3 linked regions of the Schizosaccharomyces pombe genome follow. The protein of the gene in region 1 interacts with the protein of each later gene in a biochemical or structural test. Each region holds a gene or a part of one and is shown on either strand. Other genes may lie near its edges.

Evidence for each region.
Region 2: the proteins of rec15 (region 1) and rec24 form a complex in vitro, tested with the Schizosaccharomyces pombe proteins (one study listed by BioGRID).
Region 3: the proteins of rec15 (region 1) and rec10 form a complex in vitro, tested with the Schizosaccharomyces pombe proteins (one study listed by BioGRID).

The regions. Positions count from the first base shown.
Region 1 is NC_003423.3:2,159,047-2,163,395, forward strand, and holds rec15 (meiotic recombination protein Rec15), read left to right. Parts: upstream 1-2,440; 5' UTR 2,441-2,495; coding exon 2,496-2,700; exon of another isoform or gene 2,701-2,749; coding exon 2,750-3,087; downstream 3,088-4,349. Other genes in the region: ppp16 (acylpeptide hydrolase), read left to right, coding at 1-630; histidinol dehydrogenase His2, read left to right, coding at 871-2,190; SPOM_SPBC1711.15C (uncharacterized protein), read right to left, coding at 3,067-3,165. UniProt on the Schizosaccharomyces pombe protein: Required during the early stages of meiosis for meiotic recombination.
Region 2 is NC_003424.3:4,993,595-4,999,092, forward strand, and holds rec24 (meiotic recombination protein Rec24), read right to left. Parts: upstream 3,587-5,498; 5' UTR 3,578-3,586; coding exon 3,310-3,577; intron 3,170-3,309; coding exon 2,436-3,169; 3' UTR 1,198-2,435; downstream 1-1,197. Other genes in the region: mrpl25 (mitochondrial 54S ribosomal protein mL59), read right to left, coding at 302-340, 452-850; rga9 (RhoGAP family GTPase-activator protein), read left to right, coding at 4,023-4,125, 4,181-4,341, 4,394-5,140, 5,183-5,423, 5,474-5,498. UniProt on the Schizosaccharomyces pombe protein: Required for correct meiotic chromosome segregation and recombination. Accessory protein required for Rec12 activity, which is involved in formation of the double-strand breaks (DSBs) that initiate meiotic recombination.
Region 3 is NC_003424.3:4,300,170-4,305,934, reverse strand, and holds rec10 (meiotic recombination protein Rec10), read left to right. Parts: upstream 1-2,041; 5' UTR 2,042-2,157; coding exon 2,158-4,533; 3' UTR 4,534-4,568; downstream 4,569-5,765. Other genes in the region: his1 (ATP phosphoribosyltransferase), read left to right, coding at 155-206, 366-1,246; DNA-binding transcription factor Zip1, read right to left, coding at 4,877-5,765. UniProt on the Schizosaccharomyces pombe protein: Organizes linear element components on chromosomes and is thus required for meiotic DNA recombination.

The sequences.
Region 1 (4,349 bases):
GCTGGTTTTATTGTATTTGCTCTTGATCCTACTGGATCTACAGGTTATGGACAACGTTTTACCGATTCCATTGCTCTTGATTGGGGTGGTAAGCCATATAAAGATATTGAACTTGGTGTTGAGTACATAAAAAATCATCTTTCCTATGCTGATTCTGAAAAAATGGTTGCCTTAGGTGCTTCCTATGGTGGTTACATGATTAATTGGATTCAAGGACACCCTTTAGGTCGTCAATTTCGTGCACTTGTATGTCATGACGGGGTATTTAATACCCTCAATACTTTTTACAATACTGAAGAACTTTATTTTTCTATTCACGATTTTGGGGGTACTCCTTGGGAAAACAGAGTTATCTATGAGCGCTGGAATCCTTCAAATTTTGTGAATTATTGGGCCACTCCTGAACTTGTAATTCATAGCTCAAAGGATTACAGGCTTACCGAAAGTGAAGGAATAGCCGCATTCAATGTTTTGCAGTACAAGGGAATTCCTAGCAGATTACTAGTCTTTGAAGACGAAAACCATTGGGTCATTAAACCTGATAATTCCCTACGTTGGCATAAAGAAGTGCTTTCGTGGATTCTTCACTATACTAAAGATTGTAATGCCAATGAAGATGAAACGTTTTAGATTAATTTTAATAATACAACTACGATTATTTAATAAATTTTTTTTTGTTTCTCTCGATCTTTGTTAATTCTATTACCGCGGATAAAAAGTTGCAACCGCGGTTTATCCGAAGACATATCAAATTTAGATCTTTGCTGTAAGGGAAATCGAGTATTCACCGATCCAGCCATTCCTTAGCCAACATTGCATTAAATTTTTAGAGAGTCGATTTAGACTTGACTACCTTTAATTTACTTAATAATGCCGGAATACGAGATTCAGGTGCCTTCTTATAGAGCTGCTGCATTAACCGCCGAAGAACGTACACGATTACTTGCAAGACCCATTCAGAACACTCAAAAAATTCGTACGATTGTCCAACCGATAATCGAGGATGTTAAATCAAGAGGAGAAGCTTCTCTAATAGATTATGCTTCCAAATTTGAAAAGGTTCAATTGAAGTCGGCTGTCTTAAAGGCTCCGTTTGACGACGACTTAATGAAAATATCCCCAATGATTAAAGAGGATATTGATATTGCTTTTAACAATATTTTTGCTTTCCATTCATCACAGCTGCGTCCTACAATTGCTGTTCAAACCATGCGTGGTGTAGTCTGTCAACGGATGTCTCGTCCTATTAACCGAGTTGGTCTTTATATCCCTGGAGGAACTGCAGTGTTGCCATCTACTGCTTTGATGCTTGGAGTTCCGGCGAAGGTAGCTGGCTGTCCTCATGTAGTGATTTCTACGCCAGTCCGAAAGGATGGTACGGTTGCGCCTGAAATTGTATATATTGCAAATAAAATTGGTGCTGAGGCTATTATTTTGGCAGGCGGGGCGCAAGCAATTGCGGCCATGGCATATGGAATATCCGGTGTTCCTAAAGTTAACAAAATTTTTGGCCCTGGAAATCAATTTGTTACAGCTGCAAAGATGCATGTTCAGAATGATTACGGGGCTTTAGTTGCTATTGATCTTCCTGCTGGTCCCTCAGAAGTTTTGGTAATAGCAGATGAGACCTGTAATCCTGAAAGTGTTGCCTTGGATTTATTGTCTCAAGCAGAGCATGGTTTGGACAGTCAGATCATTTTGCTGACTGTCTCTCTATCTCCCGAAATGTTTGACCGTATTCAAAAAGCAATTAATGATCACGCTTTACGACTTTCTCGTTCGTATATCATCAAACATGCTATCAAGAAGTCGGTTATTGTACAGGTTGACAATGTTGATCAAGCTTTTGAATGGTCTAATTTGTATGGTCCTGAGCACTTGGTCTTGCACTTAAAAAATGCTTCTTCATACATTCCCAAAATAGATAATGCTGGTAGCGTTTTCGTTGGTCCTTGGTCACCTGTAAGTATGGGTGACTATGCGTCTGGTACCAACCATACGCTTCCTACATACGGGTACGCCTCTTCTTATTCTGGCGTTAGTACCGATAGCTTCTTAAAATATATCACTACCCAAGAGCTCACTGAAGAAGGAATCCAGCGGTTGGGCCCTACTGTTATTCGTCTTGCTGAGTTGGAGGGTCTCACTGCGCATGCCGATGCTGTTCGTGTTCGGGGAGTTAGACTTTGAAAGGGGTTTCCTTTTTACGTATACCTAATTAAGGATTCGGCTTAAAATAAAATTTGTGTTTGGTACTAAATTTGACAAAGTATTTTTAGGTTATGATTTATTTTATTTTATTTTATATTTTTCAATTTAATTTTAATAGTATGAATGGGCATCCAATATACTGAGTAATTATCCATTAATTCAACCTGAAGTTAGTTGGTGTCGCGTCGCGTGTCTCGACTTTTTTCTAGTGAAAACGAACATTCCCTTTAACCAAACCTGCAATTAAGCGTTACGGGAATTTTAACGGAAACGATCATTAAATAATGAGTTATTCAGTTTCAGCTGCTCAATTATGGTCTCGCAAGTTGGCAATGCAAGCCGAAGATATGCAACAGCATCAAAAGTCACAGAGCAATCAAATTGCTAGTTGTTTGGCTGAAATGAATACCAAACAAGAGGTAGTTAATCAAACGATCGGTCAACTAGGACGATCTATTAGTGAAGTCCAACAACAAAATTCTCAACTAGGTAAGTGAGATTTAGAATTTCCCAAGTGGTTGGAAGTCTGACTTAATAGTACTACAATCTTTGAATCAAATAAACATGTCTATGCAGCAAGTGGCCTTAGGGATTCAAGATTATGCCAGTCGTATCAATAAGTTGGAACAGACCATGTCAGATATGAATTTGAAATTTGAAGCTTTACAAAAAGAACAGAACAGTAATACAAAAACACTAGCTGATTGCACAAGCCAGATGACTATAATCACTAAAAAGCTAGATGCAGAGCTGAAAAAGCGTTATATGACTACTAAACAAACACGAACAGTACAAAATCAAACTATGCCCAGAAGTAATACAACAACGAAAAAGCGAGTACTGGCTATTGATTTCTTAGCAGATGACGATTATTAAAATACTTAGATCAGCCTCATTTAAAAGCTTTTCTATGATATCAATTAAAATTAAACACCAATCAAACCGTTTTTTCATAGTGAGCGATGCAATATATTCACTTTCAGCACATATTAAACTTGCCTAAACGCTGTTAGTATGCAATGAGCAAAAACTGTTGATAGACTTATGAAAGCCCAAATGATTGAATACTAAAACCCCTTGAGTTTACAAAGATTTCTCAGAATGAATTAGCTTGGTCACCGAGCAGAACTCTCAGACGGCACTTCCTATATAAAATGTTAAGCTTCTTCTTTTGTCATCACAATAGAATTCAAGGAATTTTCAGTTTCTTTCATTTTTGAATACCTACCTAGTTGAAATTTTTTATAGACAGTCCTTTTTAAAAAACTTCAAAGATTTTTACGAAATTATCTATATGCACTAATATAGCTGTTTTCAGCGTTGATGGCACTACGTACGTTTAGCGGTTTGCCAAATTTATAGCTTCGAAACAACGTGACGGCTTTTATCAACTATACGAGAGTCGAGCTTATTAAACATAAGCTTTCGTTAAAAAAAAAAGATAAAAGCATGAATAAAGCTACATATTGTGATTTATGGATTGGTTTACTGGTTTTGCTCAAAATCATAGTAAAAGGGTAGTTTCCTATTGTTGTGTAATCGATAACTTTTTCTAACATTTTGCCCTTCTAAAACAACTTTTCATATTATAAGCTATTCGTTTTACTGTTTAAGTTTCAGTCCAAAAATTAAGACTAATTTAAGAAGAGAAAATTATAGGTGACTATTTGTTTCCTTGTGTTCGTTTGTTGTATAGCGAACTTTATAGATTACAGCAGTTAGAGCTGCGGCAAATTAGTTGACTTGTGTTCTTTGCAACATTAAACGAAAACAGCAGGCAATACACAAATATACGTCCGTAGCATTTATCGTACAAACTTTCTAACGAAGCTAGTATTGCAATTTTTCTCCATATAAAAATTCAATAAAATTAATTAATAAAATTCAAAGTATTGTTTTGTGTTTATTCAATCTTGAAATCATTTAAAAGTTAAGTAAAAACCAAAAATTCCAAACTCCATCTTAATGTGATGCTTCTGACACTCATATTGTTACCGCCCTTTTAATTCACTCAACTTAGTATTCTTATGCAACGTACTGTTAGAAGTGTTTACACTGTGTTGCGTGCGACTGATTTTATATGTTGGAAACAAATTTTAAGATCCATTAATTTTACTTAGACACCAGTGAGAACAAAT
Region 2 (5,498 bases), on another chromosome or scaffold:
AAAAGTTACGAATAAATCACATTCTAAAATCCTAAGTCTGCAGATTCAAAACCTAATATTTAAATGTAATTTAACTATTAAAGTAGAATCATATTATTAGTAAAGATTACAAAAATGTATAGACTAGTATATTAGTCTTTTTATCATGCTGCACAATAAAAGACTTTTAGTAAACACATAATTGAGGTAATATAGCAGTAAATTTAAATGAATCTTTAAAAAAATTTAAGGAAGTCATAAACAAACAGGAATCAAAAGGTATTAACAGTATTACGTGAAACCCACTTTGCAGAAGAAGAATTTAGAAAGGAGAAGGTTTCGCTATTTTGCTAGCTTTTTGCTAAAAAGAGTGTTAATAAAGACAATTAAAAAAATAATAATAGTAAATTTTTCACAATCAAAATCAGTAGATAGAAATAAGAAAATCATGAAAGTACAACAGTTTACATACGCGCTCATTTTTAAATTTAGAAGTTTTCTTCAATGATTCCGAAAGTTTTAAACGCCTATTTTCCAAAATCTCATCCCTCTTTCGTTCACTAATTTTTCCTTTAGGATTCAGAAGACCTTTCAAAATATGGCGTGTAGAATCTTTCTGCCATGACATTTGTTGGGGGAGTAAATTATCCAGATTCTGAAGCCTGGCCTCTTTATATATTTCAGCTTGCCTTCTATTGGAATAGTAAGGGTTGATTACAAGGCCATTCTGAGGATTTCGAGTTGCGAGAAACGGATTTTGACGATTTGGATTTGTCGTCCATGCATTTGGATTTTCAGGCGGAAACTTTTTAAAAAAGTTTCCTAATTGGATAGGAAGCCGTTCCAAAGCTTCCTTGGTAAAGACTGGCATGATAAGGTTAAAACCTCTTTAATCTATAGAGAAGCTCAAAAAGACAGTGAGTCAAGCACTATTAGTATTAGAAAATACATTGACCTAAGATGTCGGCAAACGTTTAACTGCGCTATATTACGTTAAATCAATCATTACTGTTCATTCTTGAGTTCTTAATCGAAACTTTTCATCGTTTGAAATATTAAAAGAGTTTATTATCTCAGACAATTCTAAGCCAATTTATTGACTATTAGCGTTTATTAGGTCGGACTAATTCTTAGTTACTCAATTTAGTTCCAATGGATATACTAATTAATATAATATTACGGTGTAGCAGTACTATAGTTAATAAATACAAAATTATCCAGGGTATTATTTTATACAAATATAAAAATCACTAACATATTTCGTTATTATGTATATCGTTGTTAAATTAGCAACTATACAAACTCCTTAAAATATTTTACATACTGCGTAGATGGCTTCCTCTCGCATTAGTCCCTCTACCTTAGGCATCTTTGTTGGGTTGCGTTATTTAATTATTGAAGGCTGACAGTATGTGTGATTGTGTTCCGCCAACGTAGCATTCAAACGCTTTCAATCATTATCGTTTTTAGTTGTGATTGCTTCTATGATTCCATCAAATGAGGCCCGTTCAAGTAAGCTGTGTGTGGTTATAGAGTTTCTGATGCCAGTAAAATTATCATATCAGATCATGTACGGATTCCTACTGACACATGTTGAGAGTAAGCAAAAAAAGCTCAATCATGCTTATTTTGAGTATTTTAAAACATAAATAAAAGTAAAAATTATTGTAGGAAAAGTCCGGTCATCTCTCGATGACTCCAATTAGTGGAGAATATAAGAAATACTAAAGGAATTATTTATAATGACATGTAACGCAGTGTGACATAAAGTTAGTAGTGCATAGAACTGTTGGTGATATCAAGTTGACAAGGAATCGATAAGACGCTCTTTAATGTTGAATATTAATAAGCCCTGTAAGTATCCCTGTTCTTCTAGTTAGGTCTATAGCTGAAAAACCTTCAATTCTCTGGAGCTTGTGTGGTTTTATCCATTATCACTTCCTTCGATTTATCCCTCGTAAGGAATAGGATAGCAATGCGTATAGATCAAATCGCGGATTATGAATGAAGGCTTGTGCGATAAATTTCCTTTACTTGATCAATAATCTTGTTGTCAACGCGTTGTATTAAATGCGCTTTATTGGAAAAGAAGAAACATAGCTTGTTGATTGAAATTCCAAAGTTTCTTGTAAACGAATTTGGAAAGCACTTCTGTACTTGAAAATAATACAAATTGGCCACTATATATTCGCTTTTTTTGTTCCTTTGTTTCTTTTATCCATCAATTTTTAAAAGCAGAAAACCTTTCCCTTATGCCCAAGATTTAAAAGGGAACATAATATCAAAGTTCATCGAATGGATATGATGATCAACACTTTCACCACAACGTTCTTTGTACATTGAATTTCCAGAAAAATTCCACCAAATGTTGTGAATATTTTAGGATAACAAAAGGAGTCAAATTGGAAAGGCAAGAAATGAATGTGTGTTAAATAGTGGCCCTCAATATATTACTATTAGGAAATGTCTTCGGGAAATAGCATATCTTTGAGGCCAATCAAAAGGATGGATGGAGCAGAGTAGGCACTCTTAGACAACTCTTGTTTATCAGTTTGTAATTCTTCATTTGTGATTATGTCTCTTAAGATTTGGACACATTTGCTTGCGGCAGATGAAAGCTGAGCATCGAAGGAGTGTAGACAAGGGAAGTATATCTCAGCGTACGAAAAAAAACATTCACTATATAACAACCGGATAGATGGGTTATCGTTTTTGCAATATGTGAAGCATATTTTCATCCGTTTAACAATTTGATCTAGTAATTTTTCCAATTGCTCTACGGAAGCGAATGAGAGCTTGTTAAATATCAGTTGCTCCAAAAATACGTAAAATTCCAAAAATTTCGCTCTGGAAATCACTCCAGTTCCATTGTTGGCATTGTTTTGCATAATCGACTGCGTGATTATAATGAGATCCAGTACATAATCTCCCAATTCAACTAGTCTTGTTAAAACCAACGGCGACTTACAATCTCTTTTAAGAAACATAAAAATTTCTTCGAATAAAGTTTTAATGCGCAAAAAATCCGCACCCTCGTATACTTTTGTTTGCTTCAACTTTATGTCAGCAGTGCATTTTAAGAATCGAAAAAGTCCATTAAACGTGTACTCAATATCCAGATGCGCAAGGCTTCCGGATGTTTGCCTCTTTTCCTGAAGATTCTCGTGAACATTGGTCAGCAAAAAGATATCTAGATTGGATTGTTAACGAAAGAAAATTCATACTATTTTAGATCAAAAAGGCTTTCTTTAATATAACTAATGCTTTAGATATAAGAAGATATACCGGCCTAGTATTGATGGATTTAATAAGCATCGTGCAAGTACTTACCCATATCCTCGATTTTTTTAGAGAACGGTTTGGCTTTTAAAGCCACACACTCTGTAACATTACTATTTTTCAAAACAACATCTTTTTTCGTCTTTGGGCGCGGTTCCAATAATGTTGACGCGTATTTTTCGCAATGTTCCTGATCCTCAATTCCTTTCCGCAATGCTTCTATGTAGTCTTTGATATTTTTTCCTTTCGGTTTTTTTAAAATTATCTTCCATGCTATTGCTATTTTCAGTGTCTCTCCCGACGAATCGTACGTGTACATTGTCTGTATGAGTATTTGTTTACTATTGTCTTCAGTATTTGTGCCATTCATTACAGTTTACGATGCTTTGTACTGCACTATGTAATTTGGTTTGTTTACATCTCGTCGCGACGAACCCACTTAAATACCAACATCTACATGACTCTTTACAAAACCAAAATTACATATTAATCACTGTGAATAATATTTAATACCGCTTTCTTTGTAAGTGATTTTTTGAAGAAGTTTTTCCTTCAGTCCTTCTTGGATTATTTGGAGTTGTAGGAGAATTCTAATCCTCAATGTCAATTTACTGATTTATCTGTAATATTTTTTAAACTAACGTTTTTAGATTAAAAGAGAACTCTTTTGTAACTACCTTTAATCTATTAATTAGCTGGCACTCAACAGAAGTACATAGATATACTTAAGTGTATTGTACATCAGACATTTTTATCAAAAAGATATGTGGGACGGCTTTTCAAATTCGTTCTGGTCAAGGGATTATATTACGGGAATAAATCGTGCCCAACGTTTAATCAACGAAGGTGTTGAACAAAACGAAAAGCGTATGCACATGAATTCTTCTTCTTGTAATAACTAATGATTTAACAATACGTTTAGTATTACAGTTGTTACATATTAGAGCAAAGTCAGCTTCATCTTGTTCTGACTTGCTGTTCAAATCGTTTTCAAAATTCAATAAGCACCATCCTTTAAATGAAGAAAGCAATGATCTTCCTTCTGATGCAGCCATACACCAGCTTTATGAAAGCTATTTAATGGTATACTTTCAATCGTTACTCTTATGGTCATTATCGCTAATATTTACAATAGGAAGCGTCGTTGCACAAGAAGCTTGGGGAGCAATTAAATATATTGGTAATAAATCCTTTTGCAAATTGGTCAAAGAAATATTCTAGAAGGGTAGATGAAATCGTTTCAGCCGCAATTGTCAAAATAAACAACTACAATTCACGTTTCTCTCATGTAAACAGCAAGAAGTCTAATTTGACCGACCGAAAGCCAATTCCTACCTCTCGAAAATCTAATAAATCCGATTCTCTTGCTTCTGCTCTGTCTCAGCTGGATATTAATCCTTCTAACGTTAATAAGTTTGATGGGTTGATAAACATAGTTGATCATCCATATACCGCTGAGGAATTTGCCAATGTATTATTAAAGCTTATGAAGGCGTCTACTGTTAAAAGAAAATCTTATTCTCATCTCGGTGACTACGAACTTGTTACAAACTGCTCTCTTCTATTTGAAGCCATCAAGACAACATTTGGTTTGGAAAAAGATTCTTATGTCGTTAAAGCTGGAAACCAGCTGATACAACATGGCTTAATAAGGTTACTTGGCATTCGTCGAGTTTTTGAAAATGATCCGGAGATAGATGCTCAATTTACTACAAAATCACAGCAACTATTGAAAAGTTATCATTTGAGTATTCTTGAGGTCGATCCATATTTTCAAGTAAATGATCCTATAACAGCTACTAATGATGATCCTGTTTTACAAAAGTACAACCTTGCTTATGACAATTTAGAGCAATGCCGTCATGAATTAGAGTTATATTTGGTATTGAGCATTATTCTTCTTTCATTTGCTAACCCTTTCCAGTTTATGGTTTTTAAAGATTTAGAACAAGCTGAGCTTGATCGTTTGAATGCTGTCAAATCGGTTTTGGTTGAATGTTCCAACTATTCCGGTAATTTTATACCTAGTCTTAATTCGATTTTTATCGACAACTTAAATTCGTTTAAAAATCTTGATTCTTTGCGCGATATGTCAACTCAAATAAATAAACATTATACCGGTTATTTTATTCCGGTTTCTAACAACGAACTATCTACTAAAGATGGTAAGTCCACATTTATTGAATTTGTGATATCTAACCTATCTAACCTACAGAATACTTGTTTCTGCAAAAATCCAG
Region 3 (5,765 bases), on another chromosome or scaffold:
GGAAGAATGTATAATGCACCGCCTAAAATTATGGGGAACATTGTGACTGCTTTTTCGACATTGGTGGTGGTAGTTAGTAAACGGTACATACCGATGCGTGCGTGAATTGACTGTAACGCCATAGCGTACAAGTAATCCGTTACTAATAATTAGAATGGATTTGGTTAACCACTTGGAAGATCGGTTACTTTTTGCTGTTCCCAAAAGTAAGTGAAGCTTTTAAAGAAGCACAGTCTTGATTCCCTTTACATCTGTCCAAAATCAAGGATCTATAAAATTGATTGGACTTTAGATATTTCGGGAGATTAATGTGTCTTCATGCGTTTTGCCTTATAGTTATTATACATACTGACTCATATGCATAGAGGGTCGTTTGTACGAATCCTGCGTGAATGTCTTAAAGGGATCTGATATTAAGTTTCGTCGAAATCCTCGTTTGGACATTGCCTTAGTACAAAATCTGCCAATCGCTCTGGTTTTCCTTCCTGCTGCCGATATCCCTCGTTTTGTTGGTACAGGTCGTGTCCACCTCGGAATCACTGGTCAAGATCAAATCGCTGAAGCACGTCTTCGTATTGGCGATAAGCTTAAAATAGAAGAGTTGGTTGATCTTCAATTTGGTGGTTGCAAGTTACAAGTCCAGGTACCTGAGTCTGGAGATATCACTAGCGTTGACCAACTCGTTGGACGCCGAATTGTCACATCTTTTGAATACTTGGTTGCCGAGTATTTCGACAAGGTCGAGAAGAAAGCGAAGAGTGAAGGAAAAGTTGACTCTGGTATAAAAACTGAGATTAGCTTTGTTTCTGGTAGTGTCGAAGCCTCATGTGCTTTAGGTATTGCCGATGCTGTCGTCGATCTAGTGGAGTCTGGTGAGACAATGCGTGCATCTGGCTTGAAGCCCATTGAAACTGTCATGTCTACCAGTGCTGTGTTGGTGCGGTCCAGCAATTGTTCTTCTGAACTTGAGCCTTTACTTCAAACCATTATCACTCGTATTCGTGGTTATATCATCGCCCAGCAATATGTTTTGGTTAACTACAACGTTAACCGTGAACATCTTCCTGTTGTTCTTAAGATTACACCTGGCAAGCGTGCTCCAACTATCACTACTTTGGATGAACCTGGATGGGTTGCCGTTAGCAGCATGGTAGTTAAAAAGGAAGTGGCCCAAGTGATGGATAAGCTTTCTCAAAACCATGCTCATGACATCCTTGTATTATCAATTGATAATTCACGTCCTTAGATTTGTCTACTCACGCCTACAATTTAGAATGTTAATTAGAAAAAGCCGCTTTGATCCTCAGCATTCACTCGTGTCTTTTATATGGTTTGTGATAACACCACGTATCTATCTGTCCAACAGTACATTCTTCCTAAATCACTTATTTTCTTTGCCTTATATACTTACTTATTTTTCTGTAAATAACGTTTTCATAGACCTTTTAATTTGCATTCGATCTTCGAACGTTGATGTAAAGAGACCGGTTTATCCTCTAATTTTAATTATATTTAAATATATAAAAGTGTCTTTTTTTCCTTACTAATTCAGTTTTCGTTGCAGTCGTTCGACACTTTAACTGACGATAAATATTAAAGCAGGTCAGCTGCGGTGTGTTCAGTTTCAATATATCAAATGAAGAAGATGTTGTAAATGTATCATTTGGAAAACGAAATTGGTTCTGATTAAGGATTGGTTGTAAAGTTGCAACTTCTTAAGGAGGTGAATTTAACACTTTAAATAATTCTATTTTCGTTTATCTTTCCTGTTTATAGGTTTGAAATTCATAATGTTCGTAACAATTTTTTTTTCATTACCCATTGTCGATAATTATTATTCAAAGTAAAAGAGTTGGATTGACTTATTGCCAAGTTCGCTGTAGAATATCTTTTCTCAAAATATGAACCATAATTACTTTTTTTAAATTCACTACTTGATTTCTTAGTATTCTAAAATTTATTTACTTTTCAGTATGATCAAAGTAACCGTCACTTATCGATGGCCTGAATAAATTGTATGCGTAGTCTTCGTGTACCAACTACCAGCTACGCGTCCAATATACAAGTTTCACGCACAATCAACTGAAACCGTTTTACGTATTTAATCCTATTTATTATTCCAAAAAAAATCTATTAACACTTAAACGTAACTAAAATATGGACATATTTTCTGAGTTTCTCAATTGTTTGAGCTCAGATGGCACTCTCAATGAAAGTAGTATTTATAAAACTTATCAAATTCTTGAATCGTTAAACCCAAAAGATGTTGATACTAAAGAAAACTACATAAAATTATCAAACACGTTTTCTACGCTAGGCTCTGGAGTGGGCTTTCAAGACAATTTATTGATTGAAATGTTTAAAATATTAACTGTTTTGTTTTTTAAGACTAGATCTACTGATTTGGGCGATTTGTTAATTGAAAGTTTTACTTCCCTAGAGATTGAGAAATTAATGAGGGTGAAAAAAACAATAGGATCGATTGTGCTTACTAAAGGAATACAAGAATTGCAAGAAATTGAACTGCCGAAAGTCGGTTTTAATTGCATGACCTACGATGAATCTATTTTTCAGGGGATTTCCTTAGAGAGATTGATTCTCCAATTGATGTCAATTTTCATTGCAAAATGTGAAGAAAATAAGTTATGGCTTGTTAATAACAGAAAAGATTTAGATCTTCGAGTAATTGGTCAACGCTTGCTTCACAGGGATTTCGCATGTCGCTTCTTAAGCGGTCTATTTATTTCTCGCTTCTCTGTTTCTGGAGATACTGATGAGAGTAAACATCAAAATGGCATTCGCCTTCAACTATTTATTGATTTTTCTAAATTTGAAACTCGTTTGACTATGCAAATTTTGAAGGCGGACCGCATTTTTTCCACCTGTGTTGCCAATACTGTCCATGCTTATGAAGGTTTATTTTCGTCGGGCTCAAATATTGATTCAACAATAGCTACTCTGGTTTTAGAGCCCCGAGATTTAATCGTTTATAGAAAAGGATTTGCTCTGTTACAAATTCCTTGGACATCTGTCACGACTATCGATAAGATTAAAAAAGTCAAATCTCTAAAAATTATTACTGAAGTATCTTCCCTAGATGAATTTGTTTTCCAATGTAAGGATGGCGATAAATTTGACGAGCTTTTTTCGACTTCTGAAGAAATCATGAACAAACTGTTACCAGCTATAATTGTTTCTCCTAAATTGACATTAAGGAACCGTTCAATAATTCAAATAAAAGAAGGAGAATCAAAGCTTCCTAACACTTCCAAGCAAGCATCCCAGAATTTACCGCATTTAGATGATGAACTGGCGTACCAAAGATTTGAGGATCAGGTCATTGACAAGAGTGTGTGCGACGATGAGTGCACTAACACTGAAAATACTCCAAGTTCAAACATTCCTGCAGATGTGAAAGATTCTTTATCAGCCGATGACTATGCTTATGATACAAAACGCAAGACGCAAATTGAGGATCTCGAAGAAGACCAGAATAAGAGTAAGATAGCTAGCAAAGACGGAACCAATCTAAAAGAAATCAATTCTGTTCCTGAATTTTCTGATGAGAATGTAATCAATCAAACGGGGCCCGCCAAAAAGACACCGGTTCAAAGAAGAAAAGATGGAAAGTTTGCAAAATCGACAAAAAGAAAAAAACAAAAATCTTTAAAACCTGATACTGAAAATCAAGAATCTTCGGTGAAAAATAAAAAGGCGAAATCCAATGTTAATTTGCAATACAGTCCGAAAACCCCCATTTGCAAAATTAACGACGAAACCTTGAAGCCTCCTACGATAGCAAACATTGCAGGTCACAAACAAATGAACCATTTAACTTCGGAGAATATTGAGACTCCAGTTCCTGTACCGAATGGAAATTGGTATAATGGTGTAAAGCATGAAACAGCTACAGATATCTTTACTACTTGCCATGATGGAAATAATAGTCTTAAAAGCTCCGTATGGAAAGAACTTCTTAAAGAGAAACATTGGAAACAGGAATCTAAGCCTCAACTTACTGGAAATAGTCGTCAAATTGATCTCTCTACCTTTGTTAAACAAGCAAATACTCCAAATATTACCAGTCTACTAGATGGTACCTGCTCAAGCCCGCCTAATAATGAATGTTTTAATGACAAGGAGCCAGACTCAAGTAGCAGTACGCTGATATCAGATCGCCAGGAACTTGAGTACAGGAATCCCAATGCGGAAACTGTCAAGCTCGAGGAAATACCCTACAACAAATTTTTTAAGACAGTTGAGAAGAACGAAGCATACAATCCATCTAGCAAATCTGCTACTATTGATGGTTTACAACGTTATACTTCTATGATAGGAAATCAAATATACGAGGGCATTTTACAGAACGAGAAGGAATTGAGGTCAAAGCTTGAGGCTTACCACATAAATTGTAACAAAGTGATTAAGGAATTTTCGAAAAGACAAACTGCTAGATATAAGATCATCGAAAAGGAATTGGCGCAAATTGAAGTTAATCTGGTCAGCCAAATTGACAGTTTGATGTTTAAGTAGCTTGAACCTATAGTATCAAATTTATTGATATTGGCTTATATTGACATATTACTTTAAAACAATTCACATTGGAAGCGTTATATTTTATTTACGTAAAGCAAGAAACACGAGAAAAATAGGTATATTATCAAATTCATTACCTAGTAAACGTAAAACTGATGAACTTGAACGTAGCAGTTGGATGCATACGCAGAAAAAAAGAAAATTAAAAGATTTGCTCCAAAAGAAAACATAAGTTTACCTGTAAAGAAAACCTTTATATGTTAAATAAATGATTATCGAAGAAATAAACATATCAATGCAGAAGACAGGGGTATAAAATAACAGGGAAAGAAAACCACTTTTAAAAGTTAGAAGTAGGACGTATAAGTCCCTTCAACCAGTTATTCTCCATCTCCAGTTCACGAACACGAGTTTCTAAAATGGCGACTTTCTCAGTCAACTCTTTAGCAGTGCGTTCCAACTGTTGTTCTTTAAGCTTCTTCTTGATGCGAAAACGAGCGCTAGCAGCGGTATTTCGACGACGTTTATCTTCCTCAGCAGCAGTACGGATGGCAGAAGTAGCTTTGGTGCGTTTACTGTTAGCATTGGGAGACTGAGCACCCTTATAAGAAGAAAGACTAGGGGAAGATACAGATGCTAAATCAGGACTGGCAAAAGTGGAAAGGGGATTGGTAAATGCGTTTTGATCAGCAAATGAAGAAACGGGAGCTTGTAAAGGGGTATTGTTAATAGAGCTGCTAGCTTCAGAAGTCGGGATAGCAGTCTGTCCAACCAAAACTTGATGTTGTCTTGCAGATTGATCAGGTAGTAACTTGGAGGAAGCTGAACCTTGGAGAATTGAGGAAGAAGAAACATTATCCTTGGAGGCTGAAGCAACAGAAGACTTTTGCTCAAAGAGCTCTCGTTGAGACGAAGTTTTTTCTTGAGTTTCCTTTGAATGATCAGGTAGGGTTAGGAGTTTCTGCAAGTCGAGATAAGCAAGATCAATTGAAGCAGGATTAGCAGAAGAAAAATTTCCAGTTGCATTCAAAGGGGCAGAAAAGGTATTGCTAACTTCTTCCTCTTTAACTTGCTGCAAAGTCGAAATTTTTTCGGGATTCTGTTGCTGCACGTTCTTTTCCTGCTTATTGGAATTGGAAGAACCTGAAGGTTGAGAAACAAATCCATAATAGCCTTCTGAAAGCATACTAGAAGGCTCTAAATCTAAAAAGTATGGATTTGTGAATACA